2 linked regions of the Neodiprion lecontei genome follow. The protein of the gene in region 1 binds, or shares a complex with, the protein of each later gene. Links are inferred from orthologs where the notes say so. Each region holds a gene or a part of one and is shown on either strand. Other genes may lie near its edges.

Region 1 (17,250 bases):
CTGCAATTGAATAAATCATACAGACAGTTTTGCTAATTACCTTTGATGCTTGACTAATTATGTCATCCCAAACTTGATTAGGCAAAAGCATATATTTCTCTATAAGCTGTTCCTGTACACATGTATCAACTTGAGCACTAATCATGTAGCCAACTGCCTCGTAAAACGTGTGCACCTGTACAAAAAAAAAAAAAAAATTTCGACCGTGAAACACAAGTTTTAAGGGGTTCTGTTTCAAATAAATAGTGAATTCAAGATTTCATTAGTGAATAATACTTCATTTTTGCTTGAACTAACTCGAGTTACGGATCTCCTGAATAATTATAATATCAAGATTTCTTTTTGAACAAACTCAAATCAGAAAATTTAAAACGCAACGTTTTAGGCGGTTTGATCAAATATACTGGTGGGTAAAAAGATTGGCATTACCTGCTGGGTTTGTAGATCGCAAATAATACTGCTGATCGTAGACAGTATTTCTTCGATAAATGGCATAGCTTCGCCAACCTGAATAGTTACGAAATGTCTTCTGCACTTCAATGCTATTTTGATAAAAGTATCACAGGCCATATCTTGTACTCCATCGTGTGTTTCTATAGGGGATAAAATGGCATAGAAAATTACATTAATGAGATACTGAAGTGGAGTTGTATTTACAACGGATAAGCTCAATAGTTACATGTAGACGGAGCTAATACATAAAATAAAAAATGCATCTCTCACCATGCATGAATTCGAATAGCTTATTGACAACAGTCTTCAGAAATTTCCAATGGGCTCTCAAAAATCTTGGATATTGGCCCACAACGTACATAATGTTACTTGCAATGATTGCTTTGTTATCTTTGCCTTTCTTCTGCTCGCACAATCCAAGCAAGTCCTTGATTACCGTTACTAAGAATCGTTTTTCATCCTCCTCGTGCATCGCACCTGAGATACTCCCAATTGCCCAGCATAACTATACCAGGAAAATAATAGTTACATCTGTCATACCGTAATCCATTTCTTGTTAAGTATATTCGATTCTCATCAACAATGCTAAGTTACCAAAAATTCAAAGCACAAACTCATAATTTATTTACTTTTTGGCATAATAGTACATGCACTTTCAGCGCTTACAGTCTAAAATAAATGCTATTAAATTCGAGCTTACGGTATTGAGATTCTTCCAAGACCACTCCGTACCATTGACTTGGTTCTGTAATTTTTCGGTCATAACTCTCTCTGTGTCAACATAGTCGAGATGCGTTAGATAAACTAAGGTCTCCCTCATGTTTTTGTAGAGGTTGATTGAGTCAGTATCTTTCATGAATTCTCTGACGACTTCGCCATTTTCGTTTTCCACTACCAATACTTCTTCAGGCTTAGCCATTCGACTGATCATAATATACCGAACCTTGGTCAGCACAGGGAAATAAAATAGCCTTCGTGGTGGTATGGCTAAATTATTTTTATTTACGAACAAAGGCGATGGCGTAGTGAATGGGTTTTCTCTGTACAAATCGGCAGCCAGTCCATTCCAATATTCCAAACATATTTTGAATATCTCAACTTCTTCGACTTCGGAAATCAGCACAAGGTAATGAAGAGCTTTTAAAAGTGTTTCATTCAGTTGCTTTTTTTCAACAAGCGGCCCATGTTCTTTTAGATATGTGCACAGAAACATCGCCAAGTTCTGAATGAAATTCTGTTCTTGGTCCTGTCCTACAGCATACGCATCACGGATATTCGTTTCAAGTGAAAGCATTTGCTCCAATTGCTGCATTGTGTTAGCGAACAAAACCACAAACATCTCGTCGTAGCTTGTTACTGTGACTGCAGCTATTTCAGTTAAACACTTTAATGTAACATTACGAAATATCGGCACGTTCAAAAACTGAAAACAAAATTACTACTTAGTTTTCCAGTTCTGCAAATGCTAATAAACAAATTTTGAGACTGAAAAAGATACATTTTTTCTAATTTTCATTGTGGATTGGAATGTTCAAAAGGGTTTCTACTCTGAAATTTTTATCTTTGAAGTAGAGTTTCATTTAAATTTTGAGTGTTACATCTCACATAAACATGTTCAACTGTTAGAAATTAGAAAATTAATAAAAATGCTATGTACCAAGTGAAGCATATTAAATCATGAGTATAATATTCCGAGTTACAGTATTGTTTCAAGTGAATTGAGGAAAGTTCCTTCAAGGGGAAGTTTGCTTACATTTATTATGATAAAACACGAATTGCCACTTTTCGTAGCACAATAAATTGAAAATTCTGTTAGAACATGAAAATTTGGCTACCTTGAAAACTAGGGTGTTGATCAACTTGGTTTCAAATATGTATCCAAGTGGAATCCAGTTGAGGAATCTGAGAAGAGTTTCGAGGGTAACAGCAACTAGAGGAACATTCTGTGAGTTGTCCATGACAAATTGACAAAGCTGGAATATTTGAGAGAACTCGCTACACATTGTATCCTTCAAGTGCTTAGCCTTTGTCTGCGTCATCTGACCACTTGAAAAGTCAAACACTTCTTCGCTGAGAAGTTTCAGAATAGCCATATTATTCTGACATAAGCTTTCGTTGGTTTTACTGGCACCCACAATGTCACCTATGAAGGATTCCCAGTTCTTTGGCCATTCTCGTTTTAGAACCTAAACATCAGCATCACGTGTTAAATAGTGATAATAAGTATTCCCGCAAAGAAAACAGTTTTCTTTTATTTTATTTTTTTTCAATTATTACCTGCACAAGGATCATATTCAGCTTGTTTAAGTAGACCTTAGAGGCCTCCATTGTTTCCAGGTCGCTACTAGTTTTGATGATCAACCCGACAATATACTTTTTAATACCCTCACATTGATTCCTTGGTAGAACTTTCCACCGTGTCTTGATAACCTGCTCTAAGATCTGTAGTGCGTAGTACTTTGTTTGTTGATTCTAAAGAATTAATGAAAAAGTTAGACGCATTCCTGTTTCATTCACATACTCTGTTCATTCAAGATTCTTTATTTCGGAGAGAAAAATGAACATCATAATGACCATTTTTTTTTTTTAAATCACTGTGAAATTGACATGATCATACTAAACTTTCAGAGTTTTGAGGTTTTTCAGAACTCGTAATTTAATTCTATCTTGATTCAACTGTTTCAAGATTGAAATTTTATACAAATTGTTAGAACCACTGAAAAAAATTAGATGCTGAAGGTTTCCACTTTTATTCTGAAGTTTACTTATTCCAAAATGTTAACTTTAGTGAGAACTATTAATTCTGTGCAGCTGAACTTTTTTCTTTGTCTAAAATAAATTCCAACTATCCAAAAAAAATAAATTGATACTCTTCTTACTTTCTGGTCTATAGAATTTCGCAATCAATTTTAAATTTTCGAAATCACCAACTTAAATGGCTAACTATAATAATTTGATATTTTTCTTTGTTGCAATACAATGAAAAATTGAAGGGAATTATTTTTATTTGGTAATTGATGTCAAATAGACCAAAAAGGCAACGGTGCTAAATTTGGTGTGAATAACTTTCAGCTAAGAGTTACAGAATTAACCAAATCATTTATGGTGATGCTAGTGGAAGGCATGACCATGTCTCTCTACATTGACGGCTGTTGATTATGAAATGATTACTTGAATAAAAAGATTTTCACACTTTTCATTCAATGGTCAAAGTTTTCTCTACAATTGGCATAACTCACCTGTGAGTATTCTAAGATGGTGTCAACTCGTGTCCACGCATCTGGATGTTCTTTGAGGGTGGTTAGCACTTCCTGAGCAACACGCTGTTGTTCACCAACCCCAGTATACATGCATCCGACTATATTATCCAGGAGCGTGATGTCCAGCTTTTGGTTGAAGTCCAATAACTTGGACGCTTGCTCTGCAAGTGTCGCCATTGCACTCACTTATTACCCTTGCTTTCACACACTCAATCTGCACACAAAAAAAATATCATTATTTGCATTGTTACTTGTAATGCGTCAACAGTGATGAGCCTGCACTACGACTCTAGTAAATATTTTAGTTTAGAGGTTGCTGCTGATCAAATAGAGACTAACAGTTGCATGTAAACAGTAGAATTGTGGTAACTAAATTTTAATGAATACTGATAACTTATAATCATAACATTCTAAACAAACAATATTTCCTAGGCAATCTTATTTACATATGGGTACCTAAAAACAAAGTGCCCAACTGAGGGACTAATTTTTTCGAGTTTCTTTTTACCTAACATAATTTTTAAGCATAGCTCGTGCAGTGTAGAAAGACACAAAAACTCAGGTTTTAGAATATATGTGAAAATTTGCGAATTATGATAAATCCGGAAGCATATGGTCTGACAACGTAATTTCAGCTTGATAGAATAAATAAACAAAAATTACAATGTAAAAATGTTCATTGACCGCTATAGAATACGTTGTTCCCAAGTTGTTTCGGTGTGCACTTAAACAGCGTTTGTTAGCAAATTTGATAACTGATCAATATTTGCCATGAAGTATGATGCACTTGCGGTTCAATCATTACAATTTCAATAATATTGAAATATGAGACTACATGGAAAGATTCCAAAGTGCTTAAGAACAAAATAAGCAAAAGAAAAATAATGAAAACATCATTAACTTTCGAATTGATTTCTCAATGATTAATTAAAATTAGATATCAAAGTTTAAGCACATGCCCCGACATGTGTAATCACGTATGTTTGTTTATTCAATGAGGACAATACATTACTTGTTTTTAGATTAAATTTCAACGCAACAACTCTCAATCTAAGAACATTTTCATTTACTGATACAAGATTTAAAAATTTGTAAGTACGATGCTTGGTGCACCTAGTTTCCATCCAATTTTTGATACCGATAGCATCGAAATTGATCTTGCTAAGGAAACATGCCCAAAAAGTCACTGAAATTCTGAAATCTGAATCTCAAAGAACCTTCAAAAAAGATGCATCCATTATTCTAAACTTCATGCCATACATAATGGGATGGTGCTTGATGTATACTTTGTCTATTCAGAAGAGAGTTGGGAAGGGGAGGGAGGGGAGGGGGGATCATGTGCCATGATTAATTTGGGGATAAATAAATTTTCCGAACAAATGTTGAGAATTCAAGGAGCCCGATTCCTCCACGTGCCGAAAAAACGGAAAAAACCAAAAATGCTAGGAAGCGTGCCGCAGGGGAGGTCACCGCACTGCGACCGACCGAACAACCGACCTAACCTACATCTGACAATCGCAAACAAGGTTATGTGAATTTCGGATTTTGAAATATAGTGTAATATTTAGAGTGGAATCGGATGAGTAGAGGAAACGATACTAACATAATGAGACTCGACGACGACTACCGGAGTTAGGTTAAATAGTGTAAATTCGGTCGTCCAGGAAGCCCGGCTGCCGTTTTTCCATTGCGTCGTTGCCCGTTGGGCGAAGGTGATTTGAGATTGAAGGTTTTGACCTACCGTATAAACTCTTTCATACAGCTTCCCGTCCCCGGGGTAAAAAAAAGGACGTTTTATTTTCTTTCTCTCGCCAGTCGTTACGTTTCAGAGTAATTAACCACAAGCACAAAAGGGCTAAACACACAAGTCGACGATTCCCGCGCGCTACACACTTCTCGCTCCTCGTTCCACACACTCGCAGTTTCGCTCTTTCTCACTCATTTCTCCAACTCTCTACTTTCTCTCTCTTCCACTATCAGAATCAAATACACTAAAATAATATACCCACCGAGGCCGATGTACGTCAAACCTACTTTCCCCAGGTTTCATGCGAATTTCATGTGATTTTTTCCACCGATAATACGAGCAAACCCGTCAACTATGTCGTCGCGAAACCCAACCTAAAGATTTTCGAAAATAATAACAAGATGGCCGAAAATTTTACGCGACAAATGCGGAGAAACAACGTTCACCATTGGTAGGCTACACCAATTTCGACCAATCCTCAATCGCATAAACGATAGTTTAGTATGACGTCAGTGGACGTCACATGACGTCACGGAAACACGTGTGCTCATTTTTACCTTGTAATAAAAATTTACGGAAGGATTCTGTTTTTAAGTGTATCATATTTCGAAATTGTATTTATTTCTATTCGGCGCGCGCCAAAATTTATCCGGACATAATGTACGCTGCATCTATCCTCTCTTTTAAGGAACTTAGAACGCGTTATTTGAAATTCCGCAATATATACTAGCATTCTCAGAAACATCGTGTCATATGATCTGACAATTCTACTAACTTTTCAGTCAATTTCCATCAAACTTTATTCCGCTACAGTCTGCATATTCATGCATATTCGAGATGAGAGTCATTTAACAACATATTTATAATAAAGTGTCAGCACGAAAATGTCGTGCCAAATCAAAGGAATCGCTAATTTGGTCGATTTGCCCAACGTCAAGAATTCCTTACTCAGAGATGCTGGCTCCAAACGTAAGAAAATCCCATTCAATTAAAATCTCAACTGTCATCAATAACAGTAACCACTAAGGTTATCCAATAAACAATATGTACGTTACACCCATCTATATCTACATATTTATACCCAATCTTTCAGTGGATTATGTACCGGATAAAGAACTACCTCTTCAAGATCTTATTATCTCCTTATCACCAGCAGGGGATGTCCTCGCAATTGCTTGGAATAAAAATATGGTCATTCTGACGTGTAAGTTTACAGCAAAAACTCATTGAGCAACAGTACAAGTTTTTGCTTATCACCACAACATCCTCTTGATGACTTTCTTATACAACAAAAGGAGCGATACAATCATCTCGACCTGCATCTGATTTATTACCGATGATAGAATCACAGAATTCTTCATACGAAATAAACTTTTTAAAAACACACAAATAAAATCCACAGAATCGATGATAGTTCCTAGTTCAATAAAACTTACCCCGCTTTTGACAAGCTTATATCGCAGAGCTCAAATAGAGTAGCGGTGATGTTTTCGAATAAGCCTATCAAACTCATTCTAGCTTACGAGCTTATATGAACAGTTTTTCCCTACATTAAAAAGAGGTATAAGCAAAATAAAATGCCTTTCAAGAGCCTTTTAAATGCATAGCTGTTTCCACACCACAATTGGGCTAGATATAACTTTATTCTGTGTCAAACGACAAAACGTTAAATAGTACAAATTTTGTAAGCATAAGAGACACAAAGTCATACTATATATATTTTTGCAATAATAGAGTAAGAATATACAAAATGTTAGTACGTGAACTGAATATATTCAATTTGCGAAGCCAAATAGCTCGGTAAAGTTCTTCATAAATTTTAGATCCATCTTCAACCATTATCTTGCTAGTATCACGTCTAAAATTCAAGATTAAGGTGCCGATTACTGGACCTAAAATATTTTCAATTTTTCATCACGGCATAGTAGAAAACTTAATAATACTGAGTATTCAAAAATTTTAACATCTTTCTAATACTAGCCAATGATTGATATGCCTGTATTATACTATAAGCATTAAAGTTCATTTCATACAAATAACGACAATTAATTCCGTAAACGTTGTAATTTTTCACACACTGTTTGTCAATACAGCAAAATGGGATTCGCATGAACCTGGAGATGTGAAAATGAAATTTCATCTTACATGGAGTGGAGATGTAACGGATGAGGAGAAGTAAGTTTTTCTAATTTCGTTGGGCTAGAATGATATTCCACCACAGATTGGGGTTATTCAACAACTTTTATTTTGTTTCAGTGAACAGATAACATGTCTGGCATGTCTACCTCTTATATCTTTAGGCAAAACCAGTGCTGGTAGCGGTCCTGATTGGACCTGTATGGCCGTTGGATTTTCTAGTGGGTTTATAAGGTTCTATACAGAGGTAAACCAGAATTATCCATGAAAAGAAATGTTAGAGCATTTTTTCCAATTTGTATAATACAAGCCAAATAAGTCATTTTTGTTCAGATTACGTACCAAATCATTAATTGTTGTAGACTGGTGCATTGTTGATTGACGAACAGCTTCACAATGAAGCAGTTTTGGGAATCAAATGTCAATCACATTCTCCTTCCCGGCATGTTGGAGATTCTGGACTATCCGAAGAGGTCCATGTACTGTATAACAGTGCAGTTTGCATAATGCAAGGGTTTCCGCTGTTTTCTACCTTGAGAGCATGCAGAAACCACTTGGCTAGAGGTAGTAATTTTAAATGTGTGTATTATTGATAGTGAAGGCATGAGTTTGGTACATTCAATTTTTGATCTTCTAGTGCAGGCCAATTGCAATGCTAAGCCTCCGGCAGCAAATCTTTCATATAAAAAATGGGGCTTTAAGAACCAAGGAATCACAAATGACAGTGAAGTCATTGGTACAACATCCGTAGACACCTTTGACCATTTGATGTCTGCGTCTATTTGTGGTGGCTATAATGCTGCGTATCGCTCTAGTGCACCACAACACAGTCTAGTTATGGCAACTGGCAAAAGACCATTTATTGGTTTTCATTACGCATTGGAAGGTGGGGCTGCTCCAGTTTTATCTGACGTCGCGATTGCTATGGCTAGCAAATTAGCAAGTGCAATAGGAACTGCTGTTCCGTAAGTAGCTATTTGTCATGTGATTTTAAATAAACTTTAGCAACTAAAAAAATTGCAATCGAAAATGGCAAGATAAATTAATTCAGCCATCCATTGTGTCGATATTTCATAACCTAGTGATTATCCCTGTCAAAAATTTGTGAAAATATTTCAGATGGTTTCGTGGAAACAAAAAAACTCCTACATCGCCAGAAAAGACCAAAGGAGTTATAAGCGAACCAGCAGAACCAATGATCTGCAGATTTGGTTTGAGCGATATTATGAGAGAAGGGGATTGCATTGTCGTAAGCCCTAATAGGGCTCTATCTATCGTATCAGATGCTATGGGGAGAGTTACGTTGGTTGATAACAGACGTGGTGTTGCTGTAAGAATGTGGAAAGGTATAATTGAATTTCTTCTTCAAATTCTGTTATGCAACATTTGTTCTCGAAAATGAGACGACTTACAAAATTTTACCGAGTAATAGACATGAGATTAATACTAATTTTACTCACTACGGGCATTATCTCTACATCATTCATATTTATTTCTATTCCCAGGGTATAGGAATGCTCAATGTGGGTGGATTGAAGTTATGGAGGAGAAAAACAATGGATCTCGCAAAAGTCGTGGCAGCAGCAGTAGCAGTAGTAGTGGTAATGTTCACGGTCGGCGAATTGCCTTATTTTTGACTATCTATGCACCAAAGAAAGGAGTAATTGATATTTGGGGAATTCAACAAGGACCCAAAATTGCAACCTTTTCTGCCAGTAAAAATGGACGGTAGGTAATGCACCTGTTAACATATTATATCCTCTATTCACGAAATTATAGACAACTGTTGAGCTACTGAAATGTTTGCAATCATAATTAGTTCTCCAGATCTGATCTCGCACAAGACTAACAGTTCGGAGAATAAGAAGCGAAGCTGCTCTGTAGACCATTACAATAATATGAAAGAATTACCATCCTAGTGTTTTTTTTTTTGTTTTACCTTCGTAAAATATGTCTAATGTTATTCTATCTGTGATATATCTAAAATTACAAGAAATCGTTGCAGGCTGCTATACACAAATTACGGTCTTCTGGGTTTAAATGATATGACGATGTCATCTGCAAACCGTGCGCAGTATCCTTGTGTGTTTGTTGACCCTTTGGGAGGTCTGAAAGAAGTGATTGTTCCATTTCACTTCGCTCTGAGTAGTAAAAATGGAAAAAGGGCTCGAGACTTACATCTGCTCAAAAAATTGAAAGCATTTCTAAGGGAGGAAGAGTTTGACAGTGAGAAATTAATTAACGAAGTTACTTCTACATGTATGGATTTCAAAACGAACGAAATTCGCCTGCAGGCTGTAGAAATGTTGATGGTCAACAAGCATATCACCCCCGAATCACTACTAGCAGCATTGGACGTATTTGTTGAAAACCTATCGCAATATAGTAAGTTGCTTTATGACGCATGTATAAGGAACACGACTAATGACATATCAATTTATAAACTATTGAAGATTTATCGTATTTCCAGAAGACGATGAGTTTGAACCAGCTGCCAAATCCCTTTATCAAACCTCGACGCGGCTCCAAAGAGTTATTGCGTTTTACAAATCTGTTTACCTGCAATTCAATCAACCTCCTGAGTACAATACCATCGCTTCAGATAGCTTGCCTAGTTGTAAACAGTTATCTGGAATTCTTTTAGCATCTGAAAGAGAGATACGACGTATTTTAAAGTTATCAAAGACGCTGAGTGAATTCGAAAAGCCAAAAAGTAGATCACAAACTAAGGTCCTATTCAAAGAAGATGGCAGTGCATTTGTGGATTTTCTATCTTGCTTTGAATTTGGTGGTTCAGGAGATTTTATTGGCATAAAAAAAGACGTACCGGAAGAAAAGAAACACAACATTTGTAAGCTTTTGCTGAAGCGCACTAGTGATCCTTAGGTTCAAAGTGAGTATAATTTTATTAATTTTATATATTATTGCAGGTCAATTGTTGTATCAGGGCTGGTTGTATTCAGATGATCCGATTACAAATTGGCAGAATGTAGCTCTACACAGTTGCATTCAGCCAGCTATTCTAATGCAATTTGCACTTATTTATTGGTTGCATAAAAAACCTGGGGCCCCACTGGAAGTCGAATTGAAACGATTCAAACAACTTCTTCACGCAATTTGTTCTCTGATAGGTAAATATTGCAGCTACAGCATTCAATTTCCGTGCTATTCAATATATTAGTAAAACACCAGTTCAAGTTCTCTAAAATGTTTCAGAGGTAGAAGAAATTTGTGTTGAATATAATGAGATATCTTCGTGGTGGCAAGAAATGCGAAATATATTGTCAGACTCGACAAATCCGTTCAATGCACTGACAGCTGCGATGGTTTGTAGAGCAGTGGCAATGAAGCTTGAAAAAAGCAAAGATACAGCATACAACAGTGAACAGAAGGATGGTAATGGTAACAAGGATGAAGATGCAGAGAATGGGAATACTAGTGAAAAGATGGAGGACTTAGATGAAGAGCTTAATAGAACCCCAGAAGAAGAGAATTCCAGTTCAACAAGTGATTGGGAAAATGTAAGCAAAGATACTTGCCAATTTACAGCCCTTATCAGCAATCTCGAAGATATAGCTATATTAAATGCTATTGTCAGGTAAGTTGTCAAATAGAACTCATGTGCTGTCATGGTTATTCCTCAATTGTAGAAAATAACTCTCATATTTAATCCAAGATCTGCCTGACATAGATCATTCACACAACTTTGAATAATAATTTCACACCTACAGTCAAAAGCCACCATCAGACCACACAACAGAATTTTTCAGTCTGCCATTTGAAAGTATGAATATTTCTTTGGGCTATGTTCTCTCCAGAGGCAAAGGTATGTGCATTACACGTTCAGAACTGTTTATAACTCGAAATTAAATTATATTTTTCAATTATTGTATCTTCTTCATAAGGTTCAGTATCAGAAATCGTTGCCAAGTGGCTTAGTTCAACGGGAATTGATCCAGCTCGTTTGATAGACACAACAGATGTGGAGTTTGATCAAATGCAATTGTCAATGGATTCTTTAAAAATAGCAGAATCGTTAGATGAAGCTGCAGCAATGGAACTATCGCAGCAAGACCAAATGAAACTTCTCTCCGTTTCTGTAGAACTTGGCAGTGAAGCGCAAGCAGATTCAACTGCACAAAGTTACATTCTAGGTAGGTAAGATAGCTGATTTCACTACGTTTTCCCTTCCCATTGACTAAACTGTGTCCCAATATTTCAGAAAAATTAACTGTATTGAAGAAATCTTTCCCGTACAGTCTAACGACTAGTGTTTTGCTTGCTAATCTTTGTTGGGAATTTACTATGACTTGGAATAAGGATGTCACGCAACTTGATGCGCTTGAAGCAGCTTTAGCTGTTCTTAGACAAATTCCTATGAAGCAAATGCGACAAGGTTTGTGATAAAATATTGTTTTGTCTAATATATCAACCAGGATACAAAGAACCAAATGATATATACGTCAGACTGTCGTACATTTTGCTTAATATTTCATATCTTTCATTCTGTTGTTTTGTTTGATAGGAGTTTGCTGCCTTCTTTGGACACTGCACATGAAAAAAAGGATGGAGGCGGCAGCAAAACTGATGAACAAGTCGGGAAAGTTGCCAAAAGAAAGATATTGTTTACAGGACGTTGGTGTTTCTGATATGCAACTAATTACACTACTACAACTCTGTGTTATGTTCTTGGATATATTTCTAGACGTAAGTATCCTATATCATTCACCACATTGTGTAAGAGTCACGAAAGTTTGAAGCCATGAATTACACAAAAAGATCTTGAATCAAGCTCCAATTGAATACTGCATAAGAGAACAGAATTTTTCTTAATCGCTTCACTTTCAGGCAGAAGTGATGGAAATTGAGAATAGTTCGATTATAAAATCAGAAGAAATTTGGGAAAGTCATCCCATAGGTCCGCAACCCTTCGCAGCTCTAGCACTTTCTCAAACTCCTGCTTGGTATGAACTCGTGATGCTACATCTGCAATTGGCTAACGTCTTGCACATGATGGCTTACTTTAATCTGAAAGTACAAAAGCCTTTGAACATTCTTTTCGACTCTGTGGTGGGTATTTAAAAAACCGTCTATGTACAGAAACATCGGGACAATGATACTTTTACATTCACGGAATTTCTCACTTTTACAGTCGCATCCATATTTTTTCCAAGACATCACCAACAAAGCATTGCTGACGTGGTTTCGAGATGAAAAACGCGATAGTGCAAGAACCGAGTTTCTTTGTCGTGTAATCACTGCCACTATGGACTCGATTCATCAAGAAACGACGGAAGAAAACAACTTTAGCTCTACGCAAGCTATTACGTGGATGAGCAAGTGTCAAACACTAGCTTCTATATGGAAAATAAATAACGATGAGCTGAGAATTCACCAAGTTTGTCAATTATATATTAACGGATTTGACCGATTGGCTGAAGAGGTGAGAACTGAGAAATAAACTAGTCACACAAAATCTTCAAGCTTACACGACTGTTTACTATTATATAATTAAATATTAGATCCTTACGGCGGTAAATGACACGGAGGGACTTGCAATTAATTTGTTACCTATAGCTGGAAGAAGAATGATGGCTTACCTATCCAAAACGCCAGATCTTCTGGAAGAAATATCAAGAATAAGTCCTACGCTAACTACATATCTCGAGGGCTTGGTAAGTTGAATTAACGACATACATTATTGAGACTCAAATGTGATTGATTCCATCCTGGTTTATTATATTGTAAAATGAAGATGTCTCATTAAATCAAATGAAATGAACATGTGCAATTACTCTGTTTTAGTGTAATCCAAGCGCAGCATATACAAGTTGTTCAAATAGCGATACCATAGAACTTATTCAAAGGGTTTCAAGGACTTTACCTGAAACATATCCTAATTATCACATCGCGCAACTGATGCTTGATGCTACGTTTATTTATGAAGGTAAAACGTGATGAGCCAGTCTTTACTTCTGTCAACAAAGTATTAAAATCACAGACGTGAACCCAGAATGAAAAACGGTAGAAAATGTCACGTTTTTTGCATGATTCTGTTGATCATGAATTGTAAATGATTAGCAAAATGAATTAAGATGATCCTTTCAAAGCTGTCTTGACAATTCAGTGAAATACACAAATTTGAGATGTTACAAATATCATTAGTTCAGCAAAACATTCCTTAAAAAATGATAAATTATCTAAATCGCAGTCGAAGTATGCATGACCAAAAATTTTAGTTTATATTATTAATTTATGAAAAATTTCGAAATAAGGGAATGCGTAATGGATAAAAGTTATTACCTTGTTATTATCATTTGAATTATAATATTACATACTTTACATACTCGTTTAGAAACAGTGGATGCAAACTGTTCACTAAATGCCATACATCAAAGCCAAAATATCGCAACCGATAATTGTTTTCGTCAATTATATCTATCAATCATGTTTTCAATTCGAATTGAAAATAGCATTATGTGATTTATCATTGAGCATTTTGAATGACTGTTTTTAACATATTCGTCATCAATGGTTAATTACATCTAGATAGATAATTCAATAATTGTTTTCAGATAATGATGTTAAATAAAATTATACTGATTACTAAATAACACGTTAACTATTTGAATTCATCACGTGAAACCTATTACTGTAAATACTATTGTCTTACTTGTATTTAAATAATGATACCAGTACGTGTAATGTGTATAACTTTGTACAAAATAAAAAAATCTGGATATATTCCTTGCTCGACTTTTCAGAATTTTTGTATAACCATCCCAATGTAGCCATGTATATAAGATCTCATATATATATTGGCTTGCCGCCATGTCCTGGTATCGTGTTCTTTTTCGCGTGCCATCAGTGTACAATAAATATTTCCCTCCGCAGTGCTTTGCAGGAGTAACAGTTTTTGTTCATTGTGTTTCTACGGTATGACGGGACGTTAACTGAAAATTTCTCACTCTACTGAAACATATTATTTGCCGTCACATTTTCGTCTCAGATTCCAGGTGATATATATTACAATGAACGATGTGACGAAAATTTTCAACGTTTATTTTTTACATCTTTCTTCCACATATTCTTTCTTTGGTACTTAACTTAACGATTTAAGATTACTAGTCTATACAAATAGGAATCATTGACCAGCTAAACAATATTCACTAGTTGTTAGTTCAAAGTAATTCAATAAAAGTAAGAGAATCTTCACTAAAAGTCTGTCATATCTAGTTGGTAATTCTTATGATTCAAATATTCCACTCTCTTTAAAACTAGTCCAAAGATTTTTGAACTTTTAAGTACTACTGTACAGCTTCAACGAGTTATAAATAAAATAGTATAATTATGGCATACTCTCACACATTCTCGGCATTCGTGCATGTATAATTAAATATTAAATATAATCCAAACCTGAGAGACATCAGAGATGTATACACCAGAGGTATCATTTATACAAAATAGCCTCTGTGGTCGATACATTTCAATTCTTTTACCCCTATAATCCTGGTGTTTAAATTTCTAAAATGGGAAACTAAAACAAGAGTACAATGACTCTTGCTATAAGATCACCGGTGTTTTTTTCCATAGAATACTCATAACAAAATGGGACATTGATATGAACTTAGAATTATATCTTTGACTGTTTCATTAATCAAACTTCCGATTCATTTGCCAAATTTTAGAGCCGAGAAACATTTTTTTCACATGGCAAGTATTTTTTTTTTTTGTGCCTTGTTTTGAAAAATGCAATATTGTTTTTGATTTTTCACGCATCGATCTCATTATGCTCGACGCTTTTTTCATTCAACAATTTTTTTCAAAAGGTGTTATTTTCACAACAACTGGAAGTATATAAATATGAAATGAATTTTCGGATTCATTTTACCCATCACCCTGATTTTACATTTCTTGCTTAAAATTAAAACCGAATTACAAATCCCTGAAATTGCGGTCGTGCCACATTCTCCCAGTTCGTGAATTCGCAATGATGAATTTCACTCCCAGGACTGCCCACCGTCGACAGCCACTCCGCCCTAATAAACAAAAAAAAAAAATTCATTTTCCGTAGTAATCGTGAGTAGAATTGGTAATCAGACAGGTTTTTCATAATATCTGCAAAAAATCTGAACTTGTTGAAAAAAGGGGAAAAAAAAAAGAAACAAACTTGCGGTATGTTACACAATCGTTCTCTTTAATCGTTTCACTTATCTGGGCTGTTACTATAATTAAGCGTGAGCCTTTAGCGTACGCGTCAATCAAGATTTGTTTTCTATTGCGTGTCAAGTGTTGTAAGTCTCCACAGTGCGCAATTGGTGCGGTCATTTTGACACCACGAATTTATTTTAATTAAAAATCTTTCCGAGGCATCGTCGTCGCCGTGTCATTTGGCAAATTTCCAATGACGCACGAGCCAAACATTTTTCCTATTAGCAACGTAACGTTTCGCTACAAAGTACCGAGAATAACAGCTGTTAACACAAAATATCGCCATTCCAGTTTATTGTGTACTTTGAAGGCAGAAAAATTATTCACACTCCCAATGCTTGCATCAATGGTTTGAACAATAATGCGATATTTCGGGTCATTTTCCCTAACAATAAGAGAAATTGCAGGATTAATCACGCGACTTCCTATAATACGAAATGCTATTTCACGTGCATCTTTGAAGGTGACATCAATGGGACTAATTACAATTTCAACTTAACTTAACCGCACGACCGTTCTCTGATTTATATCGTTAATGACAAAAATGTCGTGCCAATGAAACTGCACAATGTCGACGGTACCGGATGTCCAAAGCGTACGAAAGAGACGTCGACAAACAGTTCACTTACTTTTATCAAGACTTATGCTGCAATTTCACGCGTTGAAGTCACTCTTATATTGAGTTACGTGCAAGCTTACGTGACTGCGTGAGATCATCGAAAATATGAGCCGAAATCCGTAACGATGTTTTTATTTCGATTTTGATTCCCTTGTTTGCTAAACAAGACGAAAGCAGGCATCGTATTGTTACGGAGACGTGTTTCACCCTTATAGATTTGTTGCTCCGTTTGTTCTACGCCACTGTAAATGTTTGCCGAACAGCCAATTGGCCGTCGAACCAGTAACTGACCACTACCGCGAACATCTTGGATCTCTTTCCGATACCCCGACCTCGCATTTATTCCTCTTGCTTCTCTGATATTTATTATTAGCTCCTAATCAGACCGAGTGCAGTTATTTTTACCTCGCTTTGTCGAACTAGACGTTTAAAGGCGATCAGCTGTTTTTGAACAACACCTGCAGGTTTATTTAATTCAAAAAAAATACTCCATCCTAATTACTTATTGGGTATTTATATAAAGACAAACAGGAATGTTGACACGGAATAATTTTTCATAAGTGACGTAGAGATTGTACTCAATTCAATGTAATCAAATCGGGACTGTTGTACTTTTTGTAGAAAATGACCGATTGTTAGAAAATTATTCTTTACTAGACTGCTGGTTCCTTTGCTATTTGACGTTGTCTTGAATAGATCAGTATCTGTACCCGGAACAACGAAACTTAACGAATTCGCAAACAGTTATAAACTCACTTGTAACTGCGGATATTGCCACATCTTTGCATTATATCTAATGTTTGCAAAGTCACTCGAAGGGCAAG
Region 2 (13,862 bases), on another chromosome or scaffold:
GGGCATCTAAATCCATTCCAACTACGCTGTGTTTAGCATCGTGAAACGATGCTAACGACGTTTGACTGTGAATAAATTTCATTTTTATCATACCATAAAGCGGAACATAGTATGTGAATTGGACGTAATTTTTTTAGATTCCAGGATATTATTAAGTTTTAGGTTATCTTTGGAAGAGTTTGCATTCTTTTTGGCATTCTAAATACAAGAATAATTATAAGTATGTCCAAATGACGATGGAATTTTTTGAAACAACCAAATGGATTGAGTTTGATTCCCTGGTGATGTGCCGTTAGATTCTTTAAATCTTATTACCACCTTTGGTTAGGAAATGGTGAATACTTAAATTTGAAGAGAGAATCGATCATTGCTATACGACCGTCTTACAGTTTTCATGAAATTTTTAAATGTAATTAGCTATAAATTTTCTCGTTATTGATTCACAGGTTTTTCTAGTTTCCTATCGTTTTATGTTGTTAAGATTTGCAACAACAGCAACAAATAATTTCGCTGATTCAGATAAAATTGTGACGAGGAACCAAGTATAAGGCAAATATGTGACACAAAACTTCTAAAGACACATTATAATTAAAACAACTTTTCAGCACAGGGAATTCAATTATAAATCTATGGATACTTTAGCTTCCAAATGCAAAACCTTATCTTTATTCACGCTTGGTGGGATAGAGAATTTATTTGCGTGACGATTTTATGATTTTTTGCAAACTAACAAAATGACAGGACTTTTTCAAGACAGAGTATGCGTTTGTAAAAGATCTAAGAATTTCAGGATATTTTTCAAGCTTGTTTTTTGGCACCACTTACTTATCAGCTTTTAGTTGAGTATGGCATGGATCACACACTCGTACTTCAAACTCAAAACCCATGGTAGGAATAGGTATGCGTTGAGTTGTGCAACGAGCACAAAGCGCACGACCACAGTGGCGGCAATGATGCTGCCTCAATCCAAGTTGTCTTTGATCCATCATAGCTTTGATATTCCAGAAGAAAGGTCGTCCGCAAGACTGGAAGTAGCAATGAATCACTCCTATGCATAAAATATTACAATGTGCAATGATGAGGGGGATTCAACACTTTATTACCTGGCATGTGTCAGACTCAACCCAAACCGGAGTTTCTTTCCTGTTGGCGGACATGTCCCAGACAACTATCACTCCGTCTTCACCGCCAGAAAGAAGTAAGCGCTCTGCACTTGCATAGCACAAAGCTGTTACCTTATTGCTAAAGGAAAACAAGTCATTTCATTACCCTACTATTATCAAGAGAAGAGTGAATAATCACTTGAGAGAGAGAGGACGTTTTGAAGGAATGAAAAAACAATAACTTTATCTAATCAATAACGAATACTTGACGAGTTTGGTAAATTTGATACGTTTTCAGAGATTTTGGAGATATCAAATGATTTCATCAATTTTCACAATATTTCAGGAATTTCAAATATTTCACAGAATTTCAGTGATTTCATAATCTTTGTGATCTGCATAATTTGGTTTGACAAAAAATACATACTGATGCCCCTGAAGTTCGTACGCAGTGCCTTGGCAACCTCCGATGTCCCAAACAATAACACTTTGGTCAAAGCTCCCAGAAAATAACAGATCTTTTTCAGAATTCCAGGCGAGCGTGCGGATACTTCCTGTATGACCTTTCAGAGTGGTGATTAGAGTAGCACCAGTGCTCTCCAATTTGAGCATCGATATCTGTCCCGAATAATCTCCGACAAAAGCATGTTTGGTCAATGATGCAAATCTGTGATTACGTCAAGGTTTTTGCATCAGATCTTCGAGCACTGCCGATCAAATTTATTTTAATCGATTCGCGTGTTCTTTATAATCAAAAAATCAATGCAAAAGGATACTGCAATGCCGTGAACCAAGCATCTGTTTGAAAAGAACCAAGCCTATGTCCGGTTTCTGAGCAGTGAAATTGAAAAAGCTTATCTCGGCCGATACTGAGTACCCATTCACAATTCAAAGCGAATATAATTCCAGTAACTCGACCTTGATGAGAAAGGCACTCTCTCATTGGAGTCATGCGGTTGTAGTCAGTTTCCAATATAAAATCCTTTGAAGAATATGAACAATTCATTCCCAAACTTGGGATTCCAGGGAATAAACAACACAAGACAATCCTGGTATTCAAGGTATTTTCACGTAGTTGATAAATAAATTCTTTTAAAGAATTTCAGTTCTGTTCTATTTTGTGAGTATAAATCACTTTAGAAACAATGTTTCACCATAATTTTAAGGACTGTAATAAGCGACACAAGGATATCGATTAAAGTATTAAATATCTGAGGTTTTTCTTTTGAATTTCATTCTTCTTCATGAAAATACCATGAAATTTAAGCGTCAGAACTAATTCAATATTTTCTGGAAGATAAACTGATTGGACAGTTTAGTTGAGAAAACTTTTATAGAGTTCATATTGTTTGTGGAATTCAATTACATACGTTAATAGCTCCGTTTTCTAAGCCGACAAAAAGCTGTCTCGTTTCTGCGCAATAATGCATTGCCGTTGCAGCAGCACCCATGTATTGGCATACGCTGGGCCAATATTGCCCTGAATCGCGTTTTAGCCATACTCTGACGGTCCTGCACAGAAATCGAAAATTAGGAAAAATAATTACATCCAATAAACAATATTTTTGAATGAAAAAGGACATCAATGGAATTGCTATAGAAGAATATTATTCAATTTAGAGACAAAAATAAAATTGGTGTTCAAAATAAAAATTGACAAAGTAACGATTATTTAGCTGTAATTAAATTCAATGAATTGAAATTCTTTTGGATTATGTGAGTCGAAAAAAGCTTTACATTAATTCTTATTGTTATATTAAATGGTGTTTAGTTATTTTTTTTTTCATGCAAGGCAATTGTCATTGTAAAACGATGATTTTCACTCAGGATTGCCGTATATTAAGGTAGCTCCTGGTAAGACACAAAACATGAGAAAAAAAATTTACAACAAAGATTTATAACAATTTGTAAACAAAGTTGAAGAGTATGTTTTTTCATACACTAAAATTACAGAACAGAATATCAACCTAAGAGGGAAAAAAAGGATGGAAAATCGAGTTTTGGACACAAGGAAGAATTGCTTTGAAAGGCTTTGTTGGCAAAATAAAGGTATTTCTTAACCACAGAATTTGATCAAAAACAAGCGGTGTATTCTCAAGTTTGTGATGATTCAAAATATAGTAACAAATCATCGGGTTACTAGTTTCCTTAATAAGCTATGCAAGATTAAAAGTAATTTTTCTGTGATTAGTCAGAGGTTAGGATGTCCATATTTTCAAATTCGGCAGAGCCGTAACGCGCCAGTAGACGAACAAAGGTCTCATGTAGCCAGTTATTTATACGAGTAATTTAGTCACCAGCGTTATTTCATGATTTGATCATTATTATTGAACAAACAGGGACGTATTTGACATGACGCTATTTAGGGACACAAAAAATACGGTCGTACGCGACTCAACTATTTGCCTTTAATGAACTGGTCGAACGCGCAAATGTCTCTACCCTAACAATATTTGTATGTGGCAACTCGAGAAAACGTAAGTAAGAATGTGAAAAGGCTGAAGTACAGATAAAGTCGAATTTTTCTTGATACATTCGAAATACGAATAATGTAGATCAAGACTGGAAAGACTCGAATCTTCACTTACAAGATTTTCGATTATACAGTGCGGAAGCAGATTGAACTGTACAGTACAATGCGGAATAATTAATGCGTAATATTTGGGGTTGAAGGGGCATACCTGTCATCGCAAATACTGATAACACCGTCTTCTCGGGGTATGATTATCGCCCCATTCACGTCGTCATTACAACCTTCTAGCTTCGATAATAGAATTGGTTTTCGAGTCGTACTAAATCTTTCGTTGTTTACACCCGGTGCTGGTTTAATTTCAGCTGCCATTTCAATTTTTTTAATGTCGTAACCTCGCCTGTATGATTATCATTTGACAGTTGTCAGACTTCGACAGTTCCTACAATCGCGGATTTAAGAATATCTTAAGACCTTCAAGCCTGCCGATGGTTCGTAAAATGAATCAGTACGCTGGTTTAGTTGGCAGCACTTCCAATAATGTTCCCTTTCTTACTCCATGAAGCATGTAGTATTTTGATGCTGTACCCTCAGAGCATTCTAAGGCTGTACCCCAGGGAGACTAGAGTAAAAAGGAGACCCATCTCTAATGGAGGAGCATGCGAAAAATTTGTCCTCGAAAATTTGTCGTTTAGTGGTTTTAGATTTCATTAAGAACAGCGCTGTCATTGTAATATTCCGAGGTGAAGTTGATAAGAATTGACTATATACATACATCGATCGTGACTAAAATGAAATTACTTCTGTCTTTTCACCATTCGTTGGATATTTGCGATTTCAGTGCTGTTCAGCGTCAGCCAGCGCAAACCTTAGTGTATGGATTTTTGATGCCGGATCAAATGTATGTACAGAGATGGGACTTCTTTAGCCTAGTCTCCATGCTGTATCCGCTGTATCTCACTCCTAGAGAATTTTCCGTGTTATCAGCTATTTTCGGCATTTCAGAATACCATATTCGCCTAGTGACATTTTGTTTGATTACCAATTTACGCGCCAAATTTTGATAACCGATATTTGAGATTTAGTTTCTTTACAACACATATTCTAATCTAATAATTCTGTTCGCCACGCCGGCGTGATGAGCTGCATCATAGTTGGCCTCGTAATAAAAACCGAGATGATTACGTACAATGGCAATTATAAGTCTGATTAGGTATGTTACAATCTGCAGTGACGGTGATGTAATCTTTAGCGTTTGATCTACTATTATGAGCGCAAAAAAAGTTAAAGAACTGGAATCTACGTTCTCAGCCAGCAACACAAAACGGAGTAGAATATTCGACGATATTTCATGCTCCAGTCATGGATCCACTAATTGGGCTTCAATTTTAAGTTGCTGCCGAAGACATAAGCGGGAGAGAAGGTTGACTTTGAAGGAATATAACCCAAACGAATGCGATTACATTGTTGAGAAACTTGTAATTAAAAGAGTACCTCTGTCATTGTATGCAACGGCAGAAGATTATCAGGAATTCGTCGACGAAAAAAATCATAAAGAAGTAACACATGCTCCCTTAGCTGGTAAAGAGATGAGAGAAAAGCAAGTCTATTCAGCAATGACAGAAGTGGGATCATCGTTATACTTCCTGAAAAACAAAGTACGAGGCGATTTGTCAAATAGACCATCGAACAAAAATTTGAGATTTAACAGAGATGAAGACCTGTTGGATGAGGACACTTTGCAGGCTGGTCCCTCAAATTACTTCGGAAACGTGTCTTCGCGAATTAGAAAAGAAGAAGAGAATGATTATTTGAATCAATTTTCAGCTCTACATCCAGACTTGAAAATGACCGAAAGACCGCCAAAAGATCCACAACCATTAAATCCACCCCGAAGCAAACGATCGTTAGCTGAAAATATATCAGAAATTGGATCTACCAAAAGGAGTTCCAGCGTAAGATCGAAAAAAGGAAAAGAGAGAAGTAAACACGAAAGTAATGCGTACATCACAGTTTCAAATACTTCGAAAGAAATATCTACCGTTCTTGCTGACGAAGAAATTCCTTCTCGGGATGAAAATATTAACAAAGCCAGTTCACTCATTTCCCGTAAAATAGGCAGCGCATCCTGCATTCCTCACCTTAAAAAATCCTCAAAGGCACGAAAGGAGGGATTACAGTGTGAATCAACTTATCACCAGAATAAATTCTCAGAAAATGATCAACATCCCAATGGTAAATCTACTATCAAGAATTCCCAGTTTAAGGTGCACTATATTTCACCTGATGAGTGTTCAACTAAGCCAATAGCGGAATCTTCTTTCACAAATCGGCCAAAAAATTACACAGATTTACGTGAACCGGATAACGAAGAATCTACAACTGCAGCTACATCCTCCGCCTCTGATGATCAGAAGAGAGCGGACAAGACTGGAGCGACTTTAAGATGGAAAATTATCATCAAACATAATCAACCGACTCCATCGCAAACAACGGAAAAATCCGATTCGAATTTTACCGACAGCTCAATAATTCCTGCTGCAGAAGATGATGCTATTGGTCAATACATAAGAGAAGAATCACGAACATAGAATAAACAAAATTACAAAATTGAAGAAAAAAATGCGGTATATTTAAGAATCTTATGTCTGATTATCTCTCTGTTCATGTTATGAAATTTCTTAAATTAAATAAGTTACTCAAGCATTCGTTGCGTTCGTAAGTTACAAATTCACAACTTGTCGATGCGTCGAAATCGTACTCATATAATAAGGACTTCGAAACCAGGGCTACTCCGTAAGAAGTATAAACTTTACTAAATAAAACTAATTATAAAAGCAATTATTTAGCGTCACAAAATAGAATAGATTTTCTTGAATCTTGAGAATTCTTGAGAATTTTAGAATTATTGCGATATCTCAGGTATGACTCAAATTCTAAAGAGGTTCTGGAAAGAATTCAGATTCTCTCCGAATTACTTTTTGGATTGAAAATCTAAAAAACTCCGATTTTATACTTTTTGACTATTACTGATCAAATCGATCAGTGCAAATTGGAATTCGGAGCAATTCACATGGTCAAGAACCGTCAAGAACCAATCGCACTCTGCGCCGCATGAAGGCCATCTTGAATTCTCAACCAATTGCATTCGAGATCATTCGGCGTACATTATAAAAGTGTGGAAATCTCCACATGGTGCGTTGGGCGCATGGTGTATGTCACGTGTATGTATACGTATAGTGTCGTTTATTTTTAATATGGTATCTATTCGTTGAGAGCCAAATGGGTGCTTTCCATTTACTGACTCAAATCGACTTGTGTCGCTATTTCTTGTGTAACCGGCCAATCTGGGCGAAGGAATACACCAGAAATAGCGACACAAGTCGACTTGAGTCAGTAAATGAAAAGCACCCAATATGGTTTGAGCAGAACGCGACAAATGCGTCCGCTAGGAAACACCTTATGGACTCTGCCGACTCTGCCCTACTCCTAGGGAAGTTTTAGCCCTCACAACTTGATTTCGTAATGCGACTGGGGATTTCGCAGAAATGCGTTTCATGCATAGGCTTCATGTTTTTAACACCGACTCAGCTCCAACTGTCTTATGATATGCCATCGGTGAGCGCTCTTCCATATTCTGTCTTCTGCTATAAATTTGACGTTTAGAAATTTTGAAGTATCAAACCGAATGTGAAGCTTTGAATAGCTGCAATATGAATAATATTGAAATAGAAGACACTTACCATCACGACTTCACCACAGCTTCCGAGTGGGAAGTATTTATTGCGCGTTTAGAGGAGATAATTCGAGAATGGAAATTACCCCGCAGCAAAATATGTTCACCTTTGAAAAAGGGAGATTTTATCAACCTCTCGTGGGAAGCAACATCTGAAAATGTACATTTCGCTGGTTAGTTACTGCGCAGGTTATTTCTTTCTAAACAATTTTTTTGGATTGGCAATTGCAATGAAAAACATACCACACAAATTCGTTTTATCGCTAGATGACTCTGTGCCATTGTTTTTCTTCCATCAACACTAGCAATAATGCATCAGCTTTTTTGGTGATTCATTTTTTCAGATGTAGAATTTTCTCTCAAACATATCAACTTGATAACTCCAAGTGACGAAGCGATTCAAAGTTCCATAGAAGAATGTGAGGATAAGAGAAGTCAATGTCTAATGGATGCCCTGAATTCTACGAACGATTTTGCATCGTTAGATCAGGAACATCTAAATCTAGCAAAATATTATGGAATAAGAGAGTTCATCATACTTAGTCCTGCCAAAGAAGTTGCGATAACTGATGAGACTCGCATCAAAATCCTTCTCAGTTCAATTACAATTGCATCGAATAATTCAAATTGGTTCGTATATTGGGAAAAGACTGCAATGCATGCAGAAGCAATGAGGCACGCCAAAACAATTTCTGTATTCTTGATTATCTGGAAGATGTAATAACAATATATCAATTGTAATAGGGTGAGATGCATATTACACCCAGAATGTACAAGTAATGCAAATAGTTGTGATGTGAAATGTAATGACATACAGAAAATGTGAATGGCAATGTCTTTTGCACTATATAAGGTAGCTCAGTCGAATATTGTTCGGGTATCTTTAATTTAACGTATGGTATTTGCAGCGAAGTTCCTATGTTTGTACAAGTTCAAGAACCTTGGCAATCATTTTACCTAGGCGTGAGTGAGGGGCGTGGAGTCTGCAGCCATTTCGATATGGTGCACTTGAAGAAAGTTCCTCCATACTGTAAATTCCTCAATGGTTAGTCTCATCAGTGTGACGTCACCTAGAGGGTTATTTATTCGTTGCTGAATACTAATGCAACTGACGCAACTGTTCTACCTGGCGTCTGCATAAGTGGATCTCTCTCACCCGGAATCTATGTTTAGCAACGAATATATGACCGTGTATATACTACTTTTTTTATGGTACTTGCATGCTTGATTGGGATTTAACACTGTGGCAAAATAATATAGGATAGAGATGCGTCCAAGTGGGCCACTTGAGAAAGAAAAATTATTATGGTTGTTAGTATGTCATATTTCTATTGCTGGTTAACTATAGGTAACGCAACTATTTCACTTTACTGTCGACAAGTATTTTTTTGGACCTTCTTAGTATGTGAAAAAAAAAATTCTAAAATTTGTAACCAACCCACTTTACCGCAGTCTCTCCTACTACTGCTGCTAGAAAAGAGTCACATTTAATCATATAAATCTATTTTTTTCTCATTTTTAAGCATGAATCAACTAAATGGGATAAACTAGACGCACAACGACTTGCACAAACTTTTTAGTTCTCTAACAATTGTAAAATGAACCTAAAACAATCAGCTGATTACTGCTTCGACACCACATTGCTTCACCACAACCAAATGTTGAATCCTAGAGTCAGCCATGACATTTTTTAACAACATGTGACTGATATCCTTCATAATTCCATATTTAATAGTCAAAATTTTTCACAACAAGTTATTTTCAATGATGCAATATGACTTGGGAAGTAATTTATAGCTGAATAGCAGTATTTGTTTTTTCAAATTATTGATTACAGGCTTACTAACACTGTTCAAACAAAAAATTACTGAGGGATGTGGGATCCGTTTGGACCCTGCTATGGTCTCTGCTCGTTTTACATATTTGCTCAAAGATTGGACCAGCAGTACATGGACACAGGATCCACCAGATTTTGATTTCATGCATGGTGAAACACTCGGAGTCGCGGAACTTGGCAAGCTTCCGTTTGGCGCTACATTTGATCCAGTCGGGTGAGAGTGTACATTTATGTATTGGAATTATAATTTACTCAGTCAATAATACACTTCCAAAGCAAGGAACAATTGAATCATGATAGATTGATGTTGAATATACCCATTCGTGTCATTTTCAGAGAGCTAATCCTTTTCACAACTTGGCCAGAGATGCCCGAAAATGTTGTAGTGGATAGTGAAAGTTATACAGATCTAGAGCCGCAACAAGCCCCAGAATGGTCTGTTCAAGTGAAAATGACGTCATCCCCAGCCTGTTTGCTTGGCGAATATTTGATAGACTTTATACACTTGTGTTCTAACCAGAAGACGTTGTTTGAATTGCTAGGTGATTTTGTAAGTTATACTGAAGGTGATGGTCAAAATTTGAGCTCCGCTTTCAATGCGTTAACGGAGTCTAGAGTACCGGCACTTTCAACAGTCGTTAGCAAGGCGGCAATCAAGAAGACAAAACCAGTTGAGGGTCCAATTTCGGAAGATATACTCTTACCAATACTTTACTTCTTGTTTCCAGATGCTGAAGATAACCCGGTGAGCATTAATGGTTCTCTACAGTGACAGCAGGGGTGAAAATAACTCTCAGAAATTTGACACGACCTTTTGTAAAAATTTTTCAGAAATATTCAATGTTTTTGAATAGTTCTGAGAAACAGCATTACCTCTACTGGAAAAGTTTAAATTACTCTGATAACATGTGAGGGAATCCACAAAAGTCTAGAAAATTTTTGGAAGAACTAATATTTGATAGGAACTTCATTTTCTACCAGCAATGTGGAAAAATCCGAGTTATTAAGTTTTTGACTATTTTTGACCAAATCAAGTTTGAGGTATAAAATCGGATGGGTTTCTCAAAACAACTTACAGATGCGTTTTCAACATTTTTATATTGACAAATTTAAAAACTCCGAGTTTTACTATATATGGCTATTTCTGATCAGGTCATGTTCGAAATTAAAATTGAATTTTTATTGAAAATTGCTATTTTGTCAGAACTTTGTTTTGTATCATAAAACTGAAAATTCAGAGTTCTAGTATTACTGCGTATTTTCCGACGGAACCGCGTTACGGAAAATTGGGATGGGTTTTGGAGAAAAATTAAAAATTTTGAGGAAGCAGTTGAAATTATTCTGAAATTATTATTATATAATAATTCTAAAATGTACTTGAAAATATCTAGACATATATTTGTGAAAAGAATATTTGCAATAAGACTAGTTTATGAAATTTTTTCAAGAGATTGCAACAAATATCAAGGATTTTCTATAAAGAGATTTTACAGAAAAAAAGTGAGAAACAGTCGGAAATTCACGTTGTTACTAAATTTGTCAAGATTTCTAAACGTTATTGAAAATAATTTTTACCAAAACAAACATTTGATTTATCGCGATGATCATAACAGTCTTTACGTTTTACAATTTCAGAAACAACCGTATGCCAATGCAAATGCATATAATGTCGAAGATGACCAGTGGAAAGGTGTAAAAACTGCTGCAGTAGACAGTCTTGTGTGGCGGTTGTCTATTGTCGCTGCTCATTGTGCACACAACCTTGGTGGAGCACCAGCTTTGGCGCATCTGTGGCACGAGTTTGTTCAAGAGATTAGATTTCGCTGGGAAAGAAATATCCTCATTCCAGGGTAAGTAGAAAGTTAGTTTTCATTAGTGTGCATCATCAAACGGTTGAAGCCTGCAGTACTGCATTGTTTCTAGAATTGAATTGATAATATTCTCCATGTGCGTATGCCTAGACTTTTTTTTAAACATTCCCTTTACAAGTCACGTTTATGTTAGCCTGATTAATTACCTTTAGTCAAGTTAATTATCTGGGAAACTGTCTCTATATCGTCAACAAAGTTTCTTTTCTTTGATTTCTTTTCTTGTACTACATAATCAACGATTCCTGTCGCAACACAAAATGTGGTGAGGACAGTTTTACCATTAATTTATCTTCAAAAAAACGTAAAAACTGTCTGGCAGCATTATTTTTGTAAAAACATTTTCAACACCTAATTTTTTTTTAATCGAACTTAAGCGGTATAGTATGATACATTAATACCTAGCTACTTTTAGTTGACTTACGCTAAACGATTTCAAGAATTTATGGACCCAAAATCGAAAGTTGGGAAAAAGGAAGAAATTGTTGAAAAAAATTACAGAAATGTTATTTGTGCCAATGATAGTGAATGCGATTAAAACTGCTCTCCTATTATGTGATAGAAATAAATCTGTGCGACTTTGAATAATACAAATTCAGATATCATCAATTTGAGAACAAATTTTATAATTAGAACGTTTGAATTTAGTGTTTTTGAATCGGTTCTAATATGGGCTTATTTTACTCACTAATCAGACACCCTGGAAAATTCTCGAGCGATTTTATGTCATAGTATAGTTATAACGTGAAAATCTAATTGTTGACTAACATTCTTTGCACCGTACTTACAGAAATATATTCTTTATCCAATCTGGAGATAACTGTCTGTAAAATTTTGTTAAGGTGATCTTTGAAAGCCTCTATAGTGAACATAATGAGCCTGAAAACATTAGAATTGGATCTAAAACACCAAAATGTAATGATTTTGAATTATTCAATTAAAAGTAGTTTTTACAAATTGTTGATGACATCGTAGCTTATGATACTGGAATTTATTCAGATTCACTGCTATTACATAGTAGGGCACTATCATCGGTACAAATAATATTACTGGAAATTTGTCAAAGGATTTATATTCTTTTCCAAACTTTTGATTCAGATAGTGGGGCCCATTGGTTCTCTAACATGGTTGAGCAGAATGATGAAGAATACACATTAAGATCATAATGGTACAAGACCACCCCTCGTTGTTGGGTTTCGCGCCATATAAATATCCATGTCATGATCCGTCCAGTTGTTTTCCTCGTAGTTGTTCAGAGTGTGGTTTGAGTCTGCTAAACTGTACCTACTCCCTGGGCGAGGCGGGTCTTGTTCTAATGTGCGATTACGCGATCTCGGACGCTGTCGCCTAGCTGATGTGTGCGGCTGATGGGCCTGGTTGGTCGGGAAGCTGGCCCGTGAAAGCCTGTCCGACGCCGCTGCGAGAGACTGGCGTGACTGCCGCAATTCTGAATTATAAGCAGAATTATTGACAAAAAAGCCTATAAGTGATGGATACTGATCCTGGTGTAAATTTTTTTATAAAATGCCATAAACAGAACTCTGAATCACAAAATTTTCGTGACATTTGGAGCAAACAAATTTTCATCGGAGGAAAAATGTGAAGCGTGGAACTTTGAACTCACCTGGTCGTGAACTGATAAGATTCGATGGTACGGGATTTGACCCGAAATATCGTGTCGAATTGTTCGAAAAACTATGCTGTGACTGTCCGTCAGCAATTGACCGAGTCGAGACTTTTCCGACACCAAAATGTTGACTTTGCGGCCTCATTTCATCGATACATGCAGCTCTGTTTATCGAACCTATTAGGAAACGAATGAAGATTATTAATATCCCAATGAATGGAATCAAAATCGACCGTTCCATCAATTTGAGTGTACAGACGAGCCATAATTATCAGAGTGTGATAACTTGACTTCACAGAGAAAGTATCATGCCTCTGGATCGTGGGTTGTGCTGAAACTTAGGATCGTTTTCTTGGCTTAAAATATCGAGCAAATCATACAACCTTGGCGTTCCATTGGGAAAACTCTTGGCCTAGGGATGCTCCTAGTGCTGTAGGCTGATACTTGGTCCCAGTCCTTTTGATTGTTGAATGCGCTCAAAGTCGCCAATGAAGACAACGGTCCACCCGGGCTTGGAGTTGGCCCAATACCTGAACAACAATTGACCGGTAAGCCTGCGATAGGTCCACCCATTTTATTTTGATCCAGATTATGGAGGGTGTGCAATTTCCTGGCTCTTCGTCGATTCGCGACGACGAAGATCACGACGGCAACGACGATTGTCGCACAGATTGCAGCGCTGGCTGCAATCGTTATTTTGTCCATGTTTGAGGTCGGCGAATTCTCTGTCCTCACTTCCTTGCATTGGTTATACGGAACATTCGCAGGGCTCATGTCTGTCTCTTCCGACGAAACAACGCAGACTATCATGCACTCCTGAAATCAAGATCTGAATACGTGAATTACACGATTTAAACATTGTAGACGGTTGAATGTCACATTTTTACCTGAGCGGGAACATTCTTTATTTTAAATTCACGCTCATTGTTGCCAAGCGGTGGACCGGACTTGAAACTAGTCTCACCAAAGAGACGGTAAATTACTTTGAATCCAATACTGTTCAGGCCTTCAGTATCCCAGTAGATGATGACTGTGTTATCCTGCCTCAAAACGTCTTTGACGATGATCCCCTTGTCGGATCCCCTAGTCATTTTGTAAATAGGGGATCCGAGGACGAGTGGCGGTTTGGGCTGGTGTTGTTGTAAGATACTGTGATCTTGCTGATGCTTCAGAGGCGATATTGTCGTTCTGGTTATGACAACGTTGCCGGTTCTACTCATG

Evidence for each region.
Region 2: the proteins of rab3 GTPase-activating protein non-catalytic subunit (region 1) and rab3 GTPase-activating protein catalytic subunit are in contact, whole or in part, in a cryo-EM structure (PDB 8VYB), measured with the Homo sapiens proteins. The link is inferred for Neodiprion lecontei from reciprocal best matches to the Homo sapiens genes RAB3GAP2 and RAB3GAP1. Residues at the interface, in NP_036546.2 of Homo sapiens: Arg197, His198, Pro199, Gly200, Ser276, Pro277, Phe278, Asp279, Met281, Lys282, Ser285, Asn286, Ile287, Gly289, Phe290, Asn291, Ala292, Ile294, Arg377, Phe378, Gly379, Leu380, Pro381, Asp382, Arg385, Cys395, Thr397, Leu398, Arg407, Arg415; in NP_036365.1 of Homo sapiens: Thr19, Ser21, Trp23, Glu24, Glu142, Ser143, Asn146, Leu147, Leu149, Ser150, Ser153, Ile154, Ile169, His170, Trp173, Arg174, Met176, Arg187, Asp189, Glu191, Met192, Val193, His194, Leu195, Arg196, Pro199, Tyr202, Ile211, Ser214, Lys215.

Annotation. Positions count from the first base shown.
Region 1 is NC_060262.1:35,769,949-35,787,198, forward strand, and holds rab3 GTPase-activating protein non-catalytic subunit, read left to right. Parts: upstream 1-6,273; 5' UTR 6,274-6,344; coding exon 6,345-6,429; intron 6,430-6,553; coding exon 6,554-6,664; intron 6,665-7,553; coding exon 7,554-7,635; intron 7,636-7,716; coding exon 7,717-7,843; intron 7,844-7,958; coding exon 7,959-8,160; intron 8,161-8,233; coding exon 8,234-8,561; intron 8,562-8,715; coding exon 8,716-8,942; intron 8,943-9,101; coding exon 9,102-9,324; intron 9,325-9,601; coding exon 9,602-9,981; intron 9,982-10,066; coding exon 10,067-10,447; intron 10,448-10,526; coding exon 10,527-10,727; intron 10,728-10,812; coding exon 10,813-11,194; intron 11,195-11,327; coding exon 11,328-11,422; intron 11,423-11,501; coding exon 11,502-11,750; intron 11,751-11,818; coding exon 11,819-11,992; intron 11,993-12,121; coding exon 12,122-12,303; intron 12,304-12,444; coding exon 12,445-12,666; intron 12,667-12,748; coding exon 12,749-13,039; intron 13,040-13,118; coding exon 13,119-13,271; intron 13,272-13,401; and 3 more. Other genes in the region: exportin-1, read right to left, coding at 41-175, 430-593, 724-958, 1,154-1,876, 2,289-2,639, 2,731-2,925, 3,693-3,890; acylphosphatase-2, read right to left, coding at 15,521-15,635. UniProt on the Homo sapiens protein: Regulatory subunit of the Rab3 GTPase-activating (Rab3GAP) complex composed of RAB3GAP1 and RAB3GAP2, which has GTPase-activating protein (GAP) activity towards various Rab3 subfamily members (RAB3A, RAB3B, RAB3C and RAB3D), RAB5A and RAB43, and guanine nucleotide exchange factor (GEF) activity towards RAB18.
Region 2 is NC_060261.1:12,355,013-12,368,874, forward strand, and holds the start of rab3 GTPase-activating protein catalytic subunit, read left to right. Parts: upstream 1-7,147; 5' UTR 7,148-7,286; coding exon 7,287-7,482; intron 7,483-7,653; coding exon 7,654-7,939; intron 7,940-8,217; coding exon 8,218-8,354; intron 8,355-9,146; coding exon 9,147-9,360; intron 9,361-9,482; coding exon 9,483-9,891; intron 9,892-10,781; coding exon 10,782-10,996; exon of another isoform or gene 10,997-12,174; coding exon of another isoform or gene 12,175-12,461; intron 12,462-12,638; coding exon of another isoform or gene 12,639-12,818; intron 12,819-13,024; coding exon of another isoform or gene 13,025-13,457; intron 13,458-13,528; coding exon of another isoform or gene 13,529-13,862. Other genes in the region: WD repeat and FYVE domain-containing protein 2, read right to left, coding at 1-65, 826-1,025, 1,104-1,242, 1,531-1,770, 1,880-2,085, 2,474-2,615, 3,785-3,945; leucine-rich repeat and fibronectin type III domain-containing protein 1-like protein, read right to left, coding at 12,175-12,461, 12,639-12,818, 13,025-13,457, 13,529-13,862. UniProt on the Homo sapiens protein: Catalytic subunit of the Rab3 GTPase-activating (Rab3GAP) complex composed of RAB3GAP1 and RAB3GAP2, which has GTPase-activating protein (GAP) activity towards various Rab3 subfamily members (RAB3A, RAB3B, RAB3C and RAB3D), RAB5A and RAB43, and guanine nucleotide exchange factor (GEF) activity towards RAB18.